Coturnix japonica: one gene and its partner. Each later gene encodes a partner of the first gene's protein in a complex. Links are inferred from orthologs where the notes say so. Each region holds a gene or a part of one and is shown on either strand. Other genes may lie near its edges. The genes, in order: ACVR2B and GDF2.

Region 1 (8,117 bases):
CTCTCATTTAGAGCTGCTGCAAATATAGAAATTCCAGTGAAGTTAATTGTAGCTCCTGACTGACAACTTAGGACGCTGTTATACAAGGGCTGCACCGAAAGTAATGCCTCCTATTTTGTGGTGTTGGCCCACGATGTCAGAGGTGAATGTTGGTAGGATGGCAAAAGAGGTTGAACCTTCCCAACCATATTCCATTACATTTTGTTTCCATGTCACAGATGGCAGCAGAGGGGCAGCTGGACAGAATGGTGTCTGATATAGGAGCGTCTGTGAAACAGAGGTGTGGAATTCAGGTCCTCCATGCAGAAAAAATGGCAGCCATTGACATTTATCAATGCTTGCTGAATGGTTATGGAGACCCAATGGTAGATGTGAGCACAGTGAAAGTTAGACTCCCTGCAATAACCCCATCATAGCAGCTGTGAAACAGTGGGTGCAGATTTGCACAAGCGTGGCATGCAGACTTGTTCATGGCTGGTCAAAATGCACGGCTAACAATGGTGCCTATGCTGAAAAAATGGTGTTTTGTAGCTGAGGATTTGCACTATCAAATAATATTATTGCGCTCTTTATGTCAGCTGTAGTTTCCATGGGAATAAATAAGAGGCATTACTTTTGGAGCAACCTATGCGTTATTAAGACCTTGCTCCATAGAATGCATTACTGGGAAGGACTTAATGATGACACGACAGGGAAAGTGAGAATTTATTTGCTCAGGGTTACTCACATAAAGTCATACACACGTACTCATGTACACATTTCTGTTTCTCTTACCCAGAATGGTGCGTGCCTCCTATCCTACCCACAGCAGTGTTTTAGGAACCAGTATAGGGAATGCAGCCAGAACACCATTTTGCTGCCTCGGGTCCCTCAGTCTGTGCTCCTCACTTGTTGCAGGCAATGTGGGTTTTGCTTCACAAGGCTGCAGAGCGATCAGAGCGGTTGCATCATTGCCCTGCAACATGCAAAATAAATCCACATCAGCGTATACAGGAGGAGGTAAAGGAAACGCTGGGTCCCTTCCCTCTGTATTTTCCATGTTTATAACACCCCTGTCAGCATACATTGCCATTCACTGCAGAAATTACATCTCACCAGCGCTACAATAGGATTTGAAGATAAATGACACGCAAGCAGCGCAGCTCTGTGCCGGCTTAAGTGATCCCAGTACCTTCATCACCAGCACCTCCCATGCAAGATATTGGGATGCACGGAGCCCACTTGTTCCAACCCGTCACACGACAAAGATTGAGTGTCATATGACTGTGAGCAGCACAAAACCATCCTGGATAGATGGCTTTCAGAGGGCTTTCAGACCGCGACGTGCGATGATGGCACCTAACCTTAACCCTAATCGCTAAACCCCTGCAGCCCCATTGCCAATATTCCGGATGGTTGGTGCAAGTTTTCAAGTGTCCACGTGCCCAGGCTGTAACATTCCCACCCGCCATACCCTTTCACGTTGCAAGAGGTGACAACATTTTAGCATTTCAGGTGGGTTAACACCCCCCTGTGAAACAATGTAAGCAAGGCGGGCTGCCGCCCAGGTGCTCAGGGGATAAAGGACAATCAGGGGGACTGCTTACAAGGGGGCAAAACTCACCTTGGGGGCTATATGAGGTGCTGGGAAAGGGGCTCCATTATGGTGCTGTGATTGAGAACAGGAGCAGTGCTGGTAGGGAGCGCTTGGGGAGCCTGATTGGAGGGCTGCATTGCTCTTGGTCAGAGCTGAAGACGAAGGATGGACGCTGATGGGTGTCAGCATGTTTATATTTTACTGTCTCACCCATTTCTCTGTTCTTCAGCTGCTTCAGAGTTTATCCTCCAATGAAACAAGTGGCCCAGTAGGAGATGTTGGCTCATGTTTTTTCTTCTCTTGAAGCTGTGACACTCCCTGAGCTTCAGCCAGGAGCCCTTCTCTCTCCATTGCCCCCATGTCCAGCCCCACTGCACTTGTGTGCAGTCACAGAATCACAGAATGACAGAACCATTAAGGACCGAAAGACCTCTAAGATCATCTGGTCCAACCACCAACCCATCCCACCATGCCCACTATGTCCCCCAGGGCCACATCTCCATGGTTCTTGAGGTCCTCCATGGTCAGTGACCCCACTGCCTCCATGAGCACACTGCGTCAATGCAAGGAGCAGGGATCAACCCCCAGCTCTGACCTCTCACAAACACATCTCCATCTCATTTCCCAGCCGCGCTTTAACTTACCCAGGTGCCACGACACACCTTGCTTTCTCCTGACTCCCCGTGGGCTTTGGTTTCAGTGCATTTTGCTCCATATTTGTATTATTTTGGATGCTTTCCTGCAGCTGTACTGGCTGCAAAGTCCCCATGACCTCCCCATGCCATGTATGTAAGGTTCTGTGGGTGCCCTCCCTTTCCGAGGCATGGCAGCATGAAGGATATCGGCCATCAGTTCCCAGCAGCTCCACATGGGATCCTGCTCACAGCACAGAGCACATTCCATGGCTGTTATACATACACAAAAACCACCTTCCCAGAGGTTACAACCTCTCTCTAAGGTGAAGTTGTTTCCCAAAGGTGAAAAAAAACCAAACACCCAAACCACCCGAATTTCTCCACGGAGCAAAGCGCTTCTAAAGTTTGCAGAGAACGATTTCCATTTCCCCAGAGCTTCGGGCACCCAAGCTGACCATCCAGTTTCTCCACCCCTCTTCCCCCTTAAGACCCCTCCGGGCTCCCTATTTTCGCACGATCCTCATTATAATTGCAATAAATCGCGGGCGGAGCTCAGCATCCGCAGCGCTGGCGATGGAGAGAAGCCCGCTAACAGCACAAGGGCCCTAACAAGGACATCGCAGGGGCTCCCCACGCACCCCCAGCCCCGCACCTCCCGGCGCAGCGCGGTTGCAGGAGCCGCGGGCGGTGCGCGGAGCTCCGCGGGGTTGACGGGCAGCGCCGCGCCCCATTCAGAACAGCGGAGCCCCCGCTCCGCTCCGCCCCCCTCCAACCCTCTTTGTATCAAACATCCGGGTTTCCCCCTCGCTGGCTCCGCTTTGGCTTCTCTCTCTCTCTCTCTTTTTTTTTTTTTAGAAGCCATTTTGGACTCGGTTCAGTTTTTTTTTTTTTTTTCCTAATAATAAAAAAAAAAAATAAAAAATCACCTTTTCTAACCCCCTTCCCCGATATATATATTTTTTTGCCCCCCCTCCCAATTTATTAATTGATTTTTAATTGAACTCCCCGCCCCAATCTCTCTCCTCCTTCGCGATGCCGCGCCCCGCGCCCCCTCCTCGGGCTCTTGCCTGGACGCGGATCCCCTCGCAAAGTTTCTCCTTCAGGGGGGAGGTTTATAGGGTGGGGGAAGGGAAAATAAAAAAGGAGGGGGGGGGGGGGGGGGGAGGAGGGAAACACAAAGAATATATAGAGGGAAATAATAATAATAAAGAGAAACGGGTGGCTGTGCGTTGCGCGTGAATTGCGCGGAAAGCCGAGCGGAGGGGGGCGTGTGCGCTCGGCCTTTACTGCTGGGGGAGCCGGAGGGGCTGGGTTGGGTTGGGAGGAGGAGGAGAAGAGAGGAGGAGGAGGAGGAGGAGGAGGAGGAGGAGGAGTGGGGGGGAGGCGGTGTGCGGTGCACGCCGCGCTCCCAGCACAAAAGCGCAGCGAAAAGAAACTCTTGGAAAGCGCGGAGCGAGCGGCGGGGCCGGGCGGAGCGGGTCGGGCTCTTCCTCTCCACTGGATACATTTTGCAACTGCGAAGGAATTAAATCCAATTTTTCAGGATTTTTTTTTTCCCCCCTCATTTATTTTTCTTTATTTTTCTTTATATGTGTATATATATTTTTATTTTTATTTTTTCTCGAGAAGAAGCACCGCGTCGTTTCCCTCCTCCTTTTCCCCCTCTGCTTCCAGCTCTTTATTTTGAATACGTTTTATATTTCCCCTTGGGAAAGAGGGGCACGCGAGGAGAGAGAGAGAGACAGAGAGAAACAAACAAACAAAAACCAAAACGCAAAACCACACCGAGTGAAGGAATATGAGCGCTTCGTGGCTGACTTTGGCCGTGCTCTGTGCAACTTTGGGCGCAGGTAAGCGCGTTCCGCCGTGTTTACCTCTACGCTCGGCTTCCCGACCTCACCATTGAATGGGCCGGTGAGGTTCTGAACAGCCTTAAAAGCGGAGCGGAACCCCCAGACCCGTCGGGTTGAACCCCTTCCCTCCTCCCCCCCTCCCAAAGCTTTGATATGGTTGTTTTCTTAGCCCCCTTCCCCCTCTCACCTCCCCCCTTTTTCCCCGAGCTCTGTGCTGGCAGGACGGAGCCTTGCCGTGCTGCCGCCGCTTTTTTTTTTTGTTCCCTTCGCTGCCGGTGGGAATTAGCGGCGATGTAAACACGGCGAGAGATCGAGGAAACTTTGAGGCGATGGGCATTGACTCGTGGGGGAGGGCTGGAAAGGGTGGGAGAGTGGGGTACACACACACAGAAGTTGGGGAGCCGGGGGTGGCTCCGCTCAGGTATTGGGGCCGCGCGTGTGTGTGTGTGCGCCCCGTTCCTACCGGGGAGCTTAACCCTGGGGGAAGACCCCCTCCCCTCTAAAAGAAACCACATGGGGACCCCCCACCCTTCCCCTCAGCCCTACAGGGCTTTGCTTGTTTGCACCAACCGAGCCCCATGGGGCTGCTCGGCGCTGCTGGGAGAAAGTTGGGCAAAAGGGGGTGTGTGTGTTGGTGGTGGTGGGGAGCATCCATGCAAGAGGGGTTTCTGTTGCATTGAGGGGGCGGGGGGGGAGGGGGGGACTAAAAGCGTTAGTTGTGTTTTCATTCATTTTAATTCATTGGATTAATTCTGCCTTAATCGAACCGCTTTGCCCCCAGATTCAGCCGGGGGGGGGGGGGGGGGGGGGCAAGGGGTGAAGTTCCGAAGCGGCCGTGGGGGCGGGGGGGGGTGCAACGCAGCTGGGAGAGAGGAGAGCATCCCGTAGCCCTCTGGGGGAAGGGGCAGAACCCTGTAAGCCCCCCCGCCCACACATCCTAATAACAACTGCAAGCACGGCCACGCTTGAAGCCCCTTTACCCCCTCTCCTCCCCCCGTTTCCCCCTCCTCTTATTTTATTTATTGTTTATGACTGCTGTATATTCTTCATGGGCAACGGCTATTTGTTGTGCCCCCCCCCCCCCCTTCCGGCCACCCCACCTTGATCCCTGTACAGACCCCCCTCATTAACCTGGGTGCTGGGCAGTAACTTGTTACGTTCCCTGCAGCCCCAGGGGGGTCACATAAGCAGGGATGGGGGAGGCATATATATATAAAATATGTAATGGTGGGCGGGGGGACACACATATAAGGGGGATACGTATATTGGGGGGGGGGGTGGGGTGAGGGGAGCACCTTTGAGGCTGAGCGGGTGCAGCGTGTGGGTGGGAGGCAGCGATGCTGCGGCCGTGCCCATCGCGGAGCGGGGAGTTCCCCTCCATCCTATAGCAAAGAAGGATTTGGGGGCAGGGAGGGAAAGGGGGGGTGGGGGTTCCTCGTGCCCCTCACCCACCCCACGCCCCCCGGTTCGGCTCTCACCCGCGGGGGGAGCGGTGCCGGCCCCGGGGCGCTCCCGCTGCCGCTTCCTTTGTTCCGAGTGCCCATTAAATATGCGCTGCCACCGCCTGACTGTGGCACGGCGAGCGGTGCCACGCCGCTTAATTGTCATTATCAGCGTCGTTATGGCTTTATTTCTTAAGGCGCGCCGAAACCTGGAAGGAGGGTGGGAAAGGCGAAAGGAGGGGGTTAAAAAATGAAAGATCACGTTAATTTATTAGCGGGTAGCGAAGGCAGCTCGGGGTTTTATCGCATCGCTGGGACACTTGTGTGCAGCTTTGTTTCCATGTGCATGGAATGGGGGTGAGGGTATTTACGTAGCAGGTACCGGGAAGGCGCTCTCCCGGCTGCAGGATTCTATTACGTGCAGCAAAGAGGTGGATGGACGATGTGTTTTCTTTCTGTAGGTCTCGGAATCCTTTCATCTGGTGTGGTTCGATACAAGGGATGGCTTCCGGGTTGGCTGGTTTGTTGTTGTTTGGGGTGGGTTGGGTTGGTTGGTTGGGTTGGGGTTGGTTTTTTCAGCACGTTCCTATGGCTGTGAGGAGATCGGAGTTGGAGGAGAAAAGTGGTTGATGGCAAAAAATAATAACTAACCCCTAAAGGTTCCTAAATAGATCAGGTTATAAAAAGGATAATGTGATGGAGCATACCTACACTGACCAGCCCCCAAAAATATGATAAAGAAAGCCCCGAAAACGATCGCAATTCAGTTTGTTTGGAAGGATCCCCTCGGATCACTCAATCAGAGCTGGAGCAATTCCCTAAACCCCTCCCTCTCTTTTAAAGCCCTTTCTGCATTTCTTGTGCTATCGACCAGCATTTATTGACACGATCCTCGTTGTCCGGTTTTCCCTTTCCTAAATTAAGAAGAAAGGCACCGAGTCGCTGTGCCCCAGGTTGGAGCATGTTGTTGGGTTGCACAGCCAGGCTTTGTGTGTGTGTGTGTATGTGTGTGTATATAGGGCTGTGCAAAAGTGGTGGGCTTTTCGAAATCCACTTTGACCTCCATTGTTGGTGCTCCCTTGGCTGCCCATGACAAAGCCAGCGCAGCCCGCTCTTCTTTGATCTAAATAAAGAAATAAGTCAAAAAACCCACAAAAACATAAAGGAAAGAAATCTGTTACGCTTAATTTTTTTTTTTTTTTTTTTTTTTTGGAATACTGAGGATTCATTGAGGAAAACATTATGTTCATTTTTAGCCCTTTGTTTGCAAATTTTCTGCAGCCCAAATGTTCCCAAATCGTGTTTGAATCTCGGAGCTGTAGAAAATACAGAAGGTGTAAAAGGATTTGTCTTGCAGAATGCATTGCTAAGGCGCTTTTCCGAGCCATTACATTACTTTTATTTTGGTGCAAGTTTAAGTAATGCCGTGCAGCAATGAACTGTGCTGCAAATGGATCTGCCCTGCTCTTTCACTGTCTTGTACTTATCCTCTTGTGCTTGAGAAAGGGAATAAAACTGGCTTCATTAGCTTGCTAATTAAACACAATGAAGTGCGTGGCCCAAGGTTAATGGCGATGGCCTTTAAAAACACAAAACTCTTGAACAGGTGTTGGGATCTATATATTTTTTTTTAATCTGTCATCAAATCCAGATAATTATACCACAGAGATAACCATTGTCACAGCTCCGTGGAGAAGAAAATGCTGCGGTAAAGATGCGAGTAGGCATTATTTTCAGGGGTGTTATTCATACAGCGCAATCCCCCCTCCTCCTCCCCCTCCTTCCCCATTTCAGAGCATCTTCTGCGCTCTGCCCTCAGTGCTGATCACAGATTCCAGATCCATGGACCAGAAGGAGATGAAGTATTTACACACTGAAATTTCTGCCATTTCTCGTGGCTCTGAGCAGCCCATCCTTGGCCAATTAAAGCAGTGAGCTCCTGCTCCCTGTGTTAAAGCTGTCACCAACCTCCTGTCCAGTCTGCTCTCCATCAGCTCAAACACGCTTGTCAGGTTTTTTTGTGCTTGGCGTGACGCAACAGTTGTAGACCTCCCCTGCTGCCTCTGAATAGATGCTGGAGAAGAAAGAAAGAAACTGACCAGCCTGATTTGTGGGGTTTTGTTTGTTTGTTTTTTAATACTTTTTTTTCCTTCTTTTTATTTATTTGTCCTTTCTCCCCCTACTATCTTCCACTCCCCGGCACTCCCCATGCCAGCAGGGACCAGTGCAGTGCCATGGAGCAGGTTGTCCAAGGAGGCTGTGGATGCCCCATTCCTGGAGGCATTCAAGGCCAGGCTGGATGTGGCACTGGGCAGCCTGGGCTGCTGGTTGGTGACCCTGCACATAGCAGGGGGTTGAATCCAGATGAGCATTGAAGTCCTTTTCAACCTGGGCCATTCTATGGTTCTGTGATTCGTTCTGTGGATGGATGGGTGGCAGCTGGTGACAGTGCTGGGGCTTGCCGGGGCTGGGTTCCCCACAGAAGTGTTGTGGGTGAGAAGGAACCAGTATCCTTGTTTTAACTGATTGAGACCTAAGGGGACAGCAGGGAGGTTTGATGCTGGGCACCCAGTGAGAAGGTGGATGCAGCACTAAGATATGTGGGGCAGCA
Region 2 (7,578 bases), on another chromosome or scaffold:
GTCTCTCCGCCAGAAAGTAAATACATAAGAAATGCATTATTTTGGAGTATTGGCTGTACTGTCTGTTTTCAATATCATTGCGTGTCTGACAAGAGGCAAGCCTTTGGAAAACTGGGACAAGTTACCAGTTATGGGAGAGTCTGATGCATTCTTTCATGATCCTGGAGAAGTGGAAGATGAGACCCATTTTGACTTTAAATCTTTCCTGGAGAATATGAAGACAGATTTACTAAGAAGCTTGAATTTATCAAGGGTCCCCTCACAAGTGAAGACCAAAGAAGAACCACCACAGTTCATGATTGATTTATACAACAGATATACAGCGGACAAGTCCTCAATCCCTGCATCCAACATTGTGAGGAGCTTCAGCACTGAAGGTAGGAGAAGTCCTAAGTGTGTGGACATGAACTTTTAAAGAAATATATGAACAGCAGTCAGATGCTTTTGAAATTCTGAGGAAACTGGTTGCCTAACTTCCGCAGTCTACTTAGAAAGTAAATAGATTAAAATTTTGGACATTGGCCTTGCTCCTTTCAATCTTTAAAAAAATATAACTAAATAATTTCTGATATTTTTGTTGTACAATTTTATCTATTTGAGACAATATGTTGAGCACAGGGTTTACAGGTAGAGATTTGTGACTGCTTTTTGTTTTGTTTTTAATGTTAGAAAACAAATATGTGATCACCTATAGCACAGGCGTTCATGACAGAGGACGCTTCTTTCTAGGAAGCTTCTGTCATTCTTAAGCACAATAGCCAACTGAGAAATTTGTGCCTCGATCCAAGCAAGGATCCAGAAGTGCCCACCCCAAATTCTGGTTTAGATGGGAAGATTTACATGGAAAGTAGTAGCCAGGCTTGTCTTGAGTTGAAAAAAGTCCAGATCTACCTGTGTAACAATAAATAGATTGTTGAAAGCTCCATCTCAAGACACTAAAAAAAAAGAAAAATGCTATAAGTACAGTCTTTGGAATAGAAATGAGACAGGAAGAATCTGTTCTTACAAAAAAATTGATTGTATACAGGTAACAACACTATGAGGATCTCCAGATTCCCAAATAAGTGACTTTAATCCTGAAATGGAAAGAAACTTCAGCAGTATGAACTAGATTTTTGTTCCCACACCCCACTCTCCACTCAGACTGCTTTAGAGGGAAGATGGGTCAACAATAGCAAATTAGAATTGCCCTAAAACACAATGATAATTGAGTAATTATCTTAAACTGATGACCAAAAAGATATCATTCAGTGATGACTTTAAAACACTAACAACCTGATCTCTCACAAAAATATCTGCCCTTTCCAAGGCAGAGTTGCTGGCTCTACACGTTTGCAGAAAAAACACCAAAGCACCATGAATGCTCACAAAAGCCTGGAATATACCTAAACACAAAGAACTGTTTATCACCTAGTCCTAATTTAAACAGACTCTTGAGCTTTGATTCAGGTTTTTCACATGTTTTCTGTGTTCTCTAACTCTCAATAACACAAACTGCTTTCAAAGCTATTTGAAGACAACAAAAACCCCAGCAGAATTAATTCTCAAAGAGACAAATATATACCATGCTTCTCTGTAATAGGAGAGCAGTTTATCCTACTGCACTACTATGAGCGGTGAATTCTAAAAGTTTTTTATAGGAATCCTTTCTTTATAGGAATCCTTTCTGTAAAATCTCTTCAGGAAATTGCTAAACTTAACACTTAACATCCAGTGATGAGTACCTGCTACAGCACCACCTGCACCTTGTTCTAGGAAGACTCTTCCTGCTACCCCTCCACTGCTTCAGACATTCACCTGCATGCAGCCTTGGTGAAAATGCTACCAACATCAAGGAACTACATTTTATCTTTTCACTCCCTGCTCCTTGAAACCTGGCCAGGAGATGGTATCTGTTTCTTTTTGATTGTTTGTTTAATGCTAGGTAGCCGTGGTCATATTTTATTCACAAAACACATCCCGCACCTTTTAAAAGCAAGTTATTTGGACTGTCAGGAGCACTGTAACAATAAGTTTTTATTTCCTATTGTAGATGTTGTTTCTTTAACTTCACCAGAAGAAAACCCATTTCAGAAACACATCTTGTTCTTCAACGTCTCTATTCCACGGTATGAAGAAATCACCAGAGCTGAACTGAGAATCTTTATCTCCTGTCACGAGGAAGCTGTGTCTCCCTCCATACCGGAAGGCAACATGGTCATTTATGATGTTCTAGACGGGGACCATTGGGAAAACAAGGAAGGTACCAAATCTTTTCTTGTCTCCCACAGTATTCAGGAGTGTGGCTGGAAGATGTTTGAAGTGTCCAGCGCTGTGAAAAGATGGGTTAAGGCAGACAAGATGAAGACTAAAAACAAGCTAGAGGTTGTAATAGAGAGTAAGGCTCTGGGTGGTTTCCCTTGTGGGAAGCTGGATATTAGTGTTACTCATGACACTAAGAATCTGCCCCTCTTAATAGTGTTCTCCAATGATCGCAGCAATGGTACAAAAGAGACCAAAGCAGAGCTCCGGGAGATGATTGTTCATGAACAAGAAAATGTGCTAAACAAATTAGGAAAGAATAACTCTTCATCTGAAGAAGAACAGAAAGAGGAAAAAGCCATTGCTAGGCCCCATCAGCATTCCTCCAGAAGCAAGAGAAGCATTGGAGCAAACCACTGTCGGAGAACTTCACTCCATGTGAACTTTAAAGAGATTGGTTGGGATTCTTGGATCATTGCACCCAAAGATTATGAGGCTTTTGAGTGTAAAGGAGGTTGCTTCTTCCCTCTGACAGATAATGTTACGCCAACGAAACATGCTATTGTCCAGACTCTAGTGCATCTCCAAAACCCTAAGAAAGCTTCTAAGGCCTGTTGTGTTCCAACTAAATTGGATTCAATCTCTATTCTTTATAAGGATGATGCTGGTGTACCCACTTTGATATATAACTATGAAGGGATGAAAGTGGCAGAATGTGGCTGCAGGTAGTATATGCAGAATATCTAAGAAGAATACACTTCTGTCTGTGAAACTGTACATTAGTGATGCAAATGAAAATCCTTGCAAACAAGGTTTGGAGCATGGTGTGGGGTTGGTTGTTGTTGCTGCTTTTAAAGGAAAGCTGGCATTTAAAGAATGTCCATCAGTGTAAATGTCCTGCATTATATGATATTAATTAAAATGTTGTGAGATTGAAAGAACTATGCATTATTTGGCTAGAGTGACAGAAACAAAACTTATTTGAATTTTTCTGTTAAACTAGTTCTTTTCAGATCACATGCAGCCTTTGGGACTGAGGATGTCCTCTAGGTTTCTATGCCTCTTAGAAATTTAACTCTCTCAGCCAGTTCTTATTTCCAGCTTCTGTGAAGTAACTGAATTGCAATTAGTTTGCATGATAAAGCAGTGAGTCTAAATCCTGCAAATCTTTACTCACATCAGTAATCTCAGAGACATTTAAAGTCATTTTAATGCAAAGTACTTACTCATATAAGTGAAGTGTTTTTTAATTTCCCAAACAGATGACACTTTCCATCTCATTTGATTCCAAGGCTTCCTTCTGTGGGTAGCAGGTGCCTTGGTTTCAGCTTTCTTATCCTCAGTGTCCCTATTTTTACCCTTTTATGGCACATACTTGAATGATAAGTACAGCCTTCCGCTTCTAAGACACTGTTTCCTAGGAGGAGCAGCAGGCCTTATCTCCTCACAAAGATAAGGAGCCACTTTGACCCACTGCATATTCTTAGTATTTCTTTGCAAGAACATGCAGTCAAATGACATCCAGTCTTAGGATCTGTACCCTGACAGCTGTGGGGGTTGGCAGTGCTCAGCACTTGTGAAAAGAAATAAACAAGCCAATTTTTTGAGGCCTGACAAATTTCTTCGGAGTCTAACTCCAGGCTCTATTTCTTTATCTTTTCTTAGGATAAACACTATTTTGCATATGAAATTCTTTCACCCTTTAGAAGTCTGGGAACAATTGATAACTCCTTTCTATGTTCTGGGACACTTACACTACTTTATGGGAAATTCACTGCCATACAACAGTTCTCCCATCTTTATTTCTATTTTCACTAAACAACTCCATGTTTCCTGCAACTATGGAAAACTTTCTTTGATTGTAATGAAGGTTTTGCCTGTACAAGATAAGACAGTGCTTTGCATTGGTTTCAGGTGCAAATTCAAAGTGCCATGAAATGCCAACACACTCCACTCCATTTCTACTATTCCACCTTCCACCAAAAAGAATCTACCATTTTTGATTCAAATCCACAGCAAACTACATATATATGCAAAATATTAAAAATTAACGAAGCAAAAATATGAAAAGAAGCTTAATATATGGAAGCAACATGATTTAAATGGATACAGATGTTTTAAATTAGGACAGCTTGTGTGCAAGACAAATTAATTTGCTATGAACAGCTCAGCTTGAAATCTAATATGCAATTTATTTTCTATTGTTAACTTAATACAGAATACACAGCAGGTGAGTGTGAGCAGAGCTGTTGTAATTCAAGAACTGTTGGTTACATCACAACCCATGAGCACAAAGCATGATTCACCAGAATCCTGTGGCTGATTTACAGCCTCTTCCATTAGAAGAGGGTTGCAATTGGATCAGATCTGAGGTCTGGATCCATGAGAATTCTATCCACCCATAGCTGAGTGTCATTAACCTCTTAGGTTTCATGTGACATCCTCTCATTTTACTACTCCCCACTGGCTTCTGTCATCTTACAGTTGTTATATCTTCCTCCTTTTGGAAATCTGTTTTCTCTCTCTTTTGTATTGACATCTCTGAGATTTACAATATTTCGCACAACTTCTATTCTTCACATAAAAGAAGCTACTAAACAAGCATCTGGTGTGATCACATTAGAATTCTTTTTCACTCATGTGTTAAGGTAATTGTAGCTGTTTGCCCTCAAGTCATCTAAACACAAGGTTCTAGGCTGTAATTCTGACTTCACTGAGCACAGGACTTTATGAATTATGAAATTAAAAAGTGGAAAAGGAGAAAGACTAGTCCACACAATGTTCACATGTTCACAAATGTATTTGCTCAAAAATCTATTATTTTCTCAGAGGGAAAAAAAAAGGGGGGGTGGTGGGGAAGGAGAATATAAGAAGTCACTTTTAGCTCAATTCAGATCCCAGCTATTCTATCAACTTCAGTAAAGCTCTTAAGACACTTTCTCAAAACCGTACTACAAGTCTCTTTTGTACTTCAACCAAAAAACAATAAAAAATCAATTTCATCTTTAGCCAGCACTAGCAATCATACTCCCATAGGCCATACTGTTTTGGATGGTACAGAAATAAACCAAAACATGAATCTTTCCACACTGCAATGAACAGGGTCAAGAGAAAATGAGAACCTGATAGCAACTACAAATGCTACCTACAGGACAGCAGAAGTATGTGCCAAATCAATGTTTGGTTTTACATTGTAAATTTAGCTGCCTACATTTTGAATATTTCATTTTAAACAATTGGTCACAGTCTCTATCTTTTCAGCTGCTTAGGAACACAAAGCATCAGCGAGGTGAACAAAAAGCACTAGAAAATATACAAGTTACAAAGTTAGGTGGGCAAAGCACCTTCCTACCTGCATGAAGTCAGGCCTCATTAGACACTAAAAAACACTTTCTCACCACCAGAATATAAACATTAACCAGTAGCATGCTGCTATAACAGAGCATATTGAGGCTTGCGCGGACATACAGCTAAAAATAAAGCTTGTTTGTTTAACATAAACACAAGGCTAAAGTACATCAACATATTCAAGATCATTAGCTGTGTAATAACAGCCCTTTAATATTACAATCATCAACTGTATAGTTTCTAGCTATGTGATCTGTTGATAGCCGCTTAATCATACCATTCTGTATGTTTATCTATTGTATGTATGGGTTAAGAGCCAATAGCCTCACAAGATTCTGGAGCTATTCACTTAATCTCTGTTTAGATACCTTTCTGCTGAAAATAACCTGACAATACAGAAATGCTAACCTAGAGTTCCTGATTGTTGAAATTTTAGTAACAGGTTTTAGACTCTTTAAAGTCAGCTTATCCTTTCAGACACAATTGTGCTCTAGTAGAACTAACACTGCTTCTGGGTCACAGCAGAATCTACTCCAACCTTCTCAGAACATGGCCACAACAATTATGCAACACAGAGTTCTGCATAGGGCTGGCTGCACTGTTAGCTGCAAGCGGAATTAATGTCACGCTGTAGCTGCCCATAAGCAGTACTGAATTAAGTCCCTTATTGCAAAGAATGGAACAGAACAGAATAGAACAACTTAAGAAAACAAATAAATAGCAGATGAACAATGTCTGTGAAGCAAGATGTATGGGAAATTGATAATCACAGCCTGAACTTCTGATTAATTAGCTGAGGCAAGTGTTGGGTCAGCTGTAGGAGCACAGGTGAGAGTAATTTAGCTGCACTCCCAGAAGGGGTGGAGTCCTCTAGACCTTATCTAAGGGCTGACCGCCACTAATCTCAAAGCATCTCTTTGAGATTGCTCCTTGGTGAAGATTGCCTCAGAATTTCCCAGCAGACCGAAGGCTTCCATACAGGTGAGTTTTTCCTGTAAATAACCTTTTGAATTTTTACTACCATCTTTATGTTATTGTCACCATACAGGAACCTTTTGGATGTTTACTGCCATCTTTTTGTTATTGTCACTGTACACAAGACCTTACCCTTAAATGTCTTAAAAGGAGCTCTACTTCTCCTTTGGCTGCATCTGAGAGCAACTACCTTCCTCTAACCCATTTGAACTCCCTAACTTACTGTTTATTATGTTTCTAGCATAAGCAAAACCAGGGTAGGTTCTGCAGCAGTTTCTGGAGTGCAAGGCACTTTAAAGAGCTCTGTTTGTCTCATTGCAGGGCAGGAAGATCAAGCTGGAGGTGCCTGAGCCACAGATTTCCTCTGTGCTGCTCTAGGTCTGTCTGGGACCTATAAAACATCTTGTGGGCATTTCTTCACTCTACAATGTTTTCTCTAAATCTTGTCTTGCACTGCCTCAGCAGCATCTCTGGGCTGTCAGGAGCCTTTCTTACCTCCCCTGCCCCACCACCATGGTGTCTTAAATATAATGTCAGTTGTATGCCAGTCTCCCTTTGGGCTGCCCACAGCCTGTTTTGTTCTTGGTCTCTACTCTGGCTGCAGCTGCTGGGTTGCTTTAGCACTGTTATCCTGCCAAGCTGCTGCCTCACAGTTGTGGTTAACTGCTGCCAAGATGGCCTTGTTTCTTTCTTGTACCTTGCTTTCCAGTCTCTTCTAGATCATCAGTCACAAATCAGGTGAAGCCTTAGTGTAGGCATGGAAAATTAGGTGCTGTGAGTCAGCCCCTTTCTGAGGTGCAAGCTTTGGCTGGAGTCCTATAGGTTGTCTGCTGGTCCTCACAAGCCTTGATGCTGGACCAGTACACCAGAAGCACTAAGCAAGCAACAGCCTAGCAGCCCAGGGCTTGGTACCAGGCTGGTAACCAAAGCTTTTGAGCAAATAGTGGTGGAGAACAGCACTTTCAAGCTAGATAGCTTAAAATGGCAATAGTTAGTCTGGCTGGACATACTGAG

The links.
Region 2: the proteins of ACVR2B (region 1) and GDF2 are in contact, whole or in part, in a crystal structure (PDB 4FAO), measured with the Homo sapiens proteins. The link is inferred for Coturnix japonica from reciprocal best matches to the Homo sapiens genes ACVR2B and GDF2. Residues at the interface, in NP_001097.2 of Homo sapiens: Asn35, Glu39, Cys49, Glu50, Glu52, Lys55, Leu57, Tyr60, Ser62, Arg64, Val73, Lys74, Cys77, Trp78, Leu79, Asp81, Phe82, Asn83, Glu94, Gln98, Val99, Phe101; in NP_057288.1 of Homo sapiens: Arg333, Ile346, Ala347, Pro348, Lys349, Glu350, Tyr351, Glu352, Lys397, Ser399, Pro400, Ile401, Ser402, Val403, Leu404, Lys406, Gly410, Val411, Pro412, Thr413, Leu414, Tyr416, His417.

The regions. Positions count from the first base shown.
Region 1 is NC_029517.1:5,164,711-5,172,827, reverse strand, and holds the start of ACVR2B (activin receptor type-2B), read left to right. Parts: upstream 1-3,582; 5' UTR 3,583-4,009; coding exon 4,010-4,061; intron 4,062-8,117. UniProt on the Homo sapiens protein: Transmembrane serine/threonine kinase activin type-2 receptor forming an activin receptor complex with activin type-1 serine/threonine kinase receptors (ACVR1, ACVR1B or ACVR1c).
Region 2 is NC_029521.1:15,464,960-15,472,537, reverse strand, and holds the end of GDF2 (growth/differentiation factor 2), read left to right. Parts: 5' UTR 1-31; coding exon 32-377; intron 378-2,032; coding exon 2,033-2,970; 3' UTR 2,971-5,073; downstream 5,074-7,578. UniProt on the Homo sapiens protein: Potent circulating inhibitor of angiogenesis. Signals through the type I activin receptor ACVRL1 but not other Alks. Signaling through SMAD1 in endothelial cells requires TGF-beta coreceptor endoglin/ENG.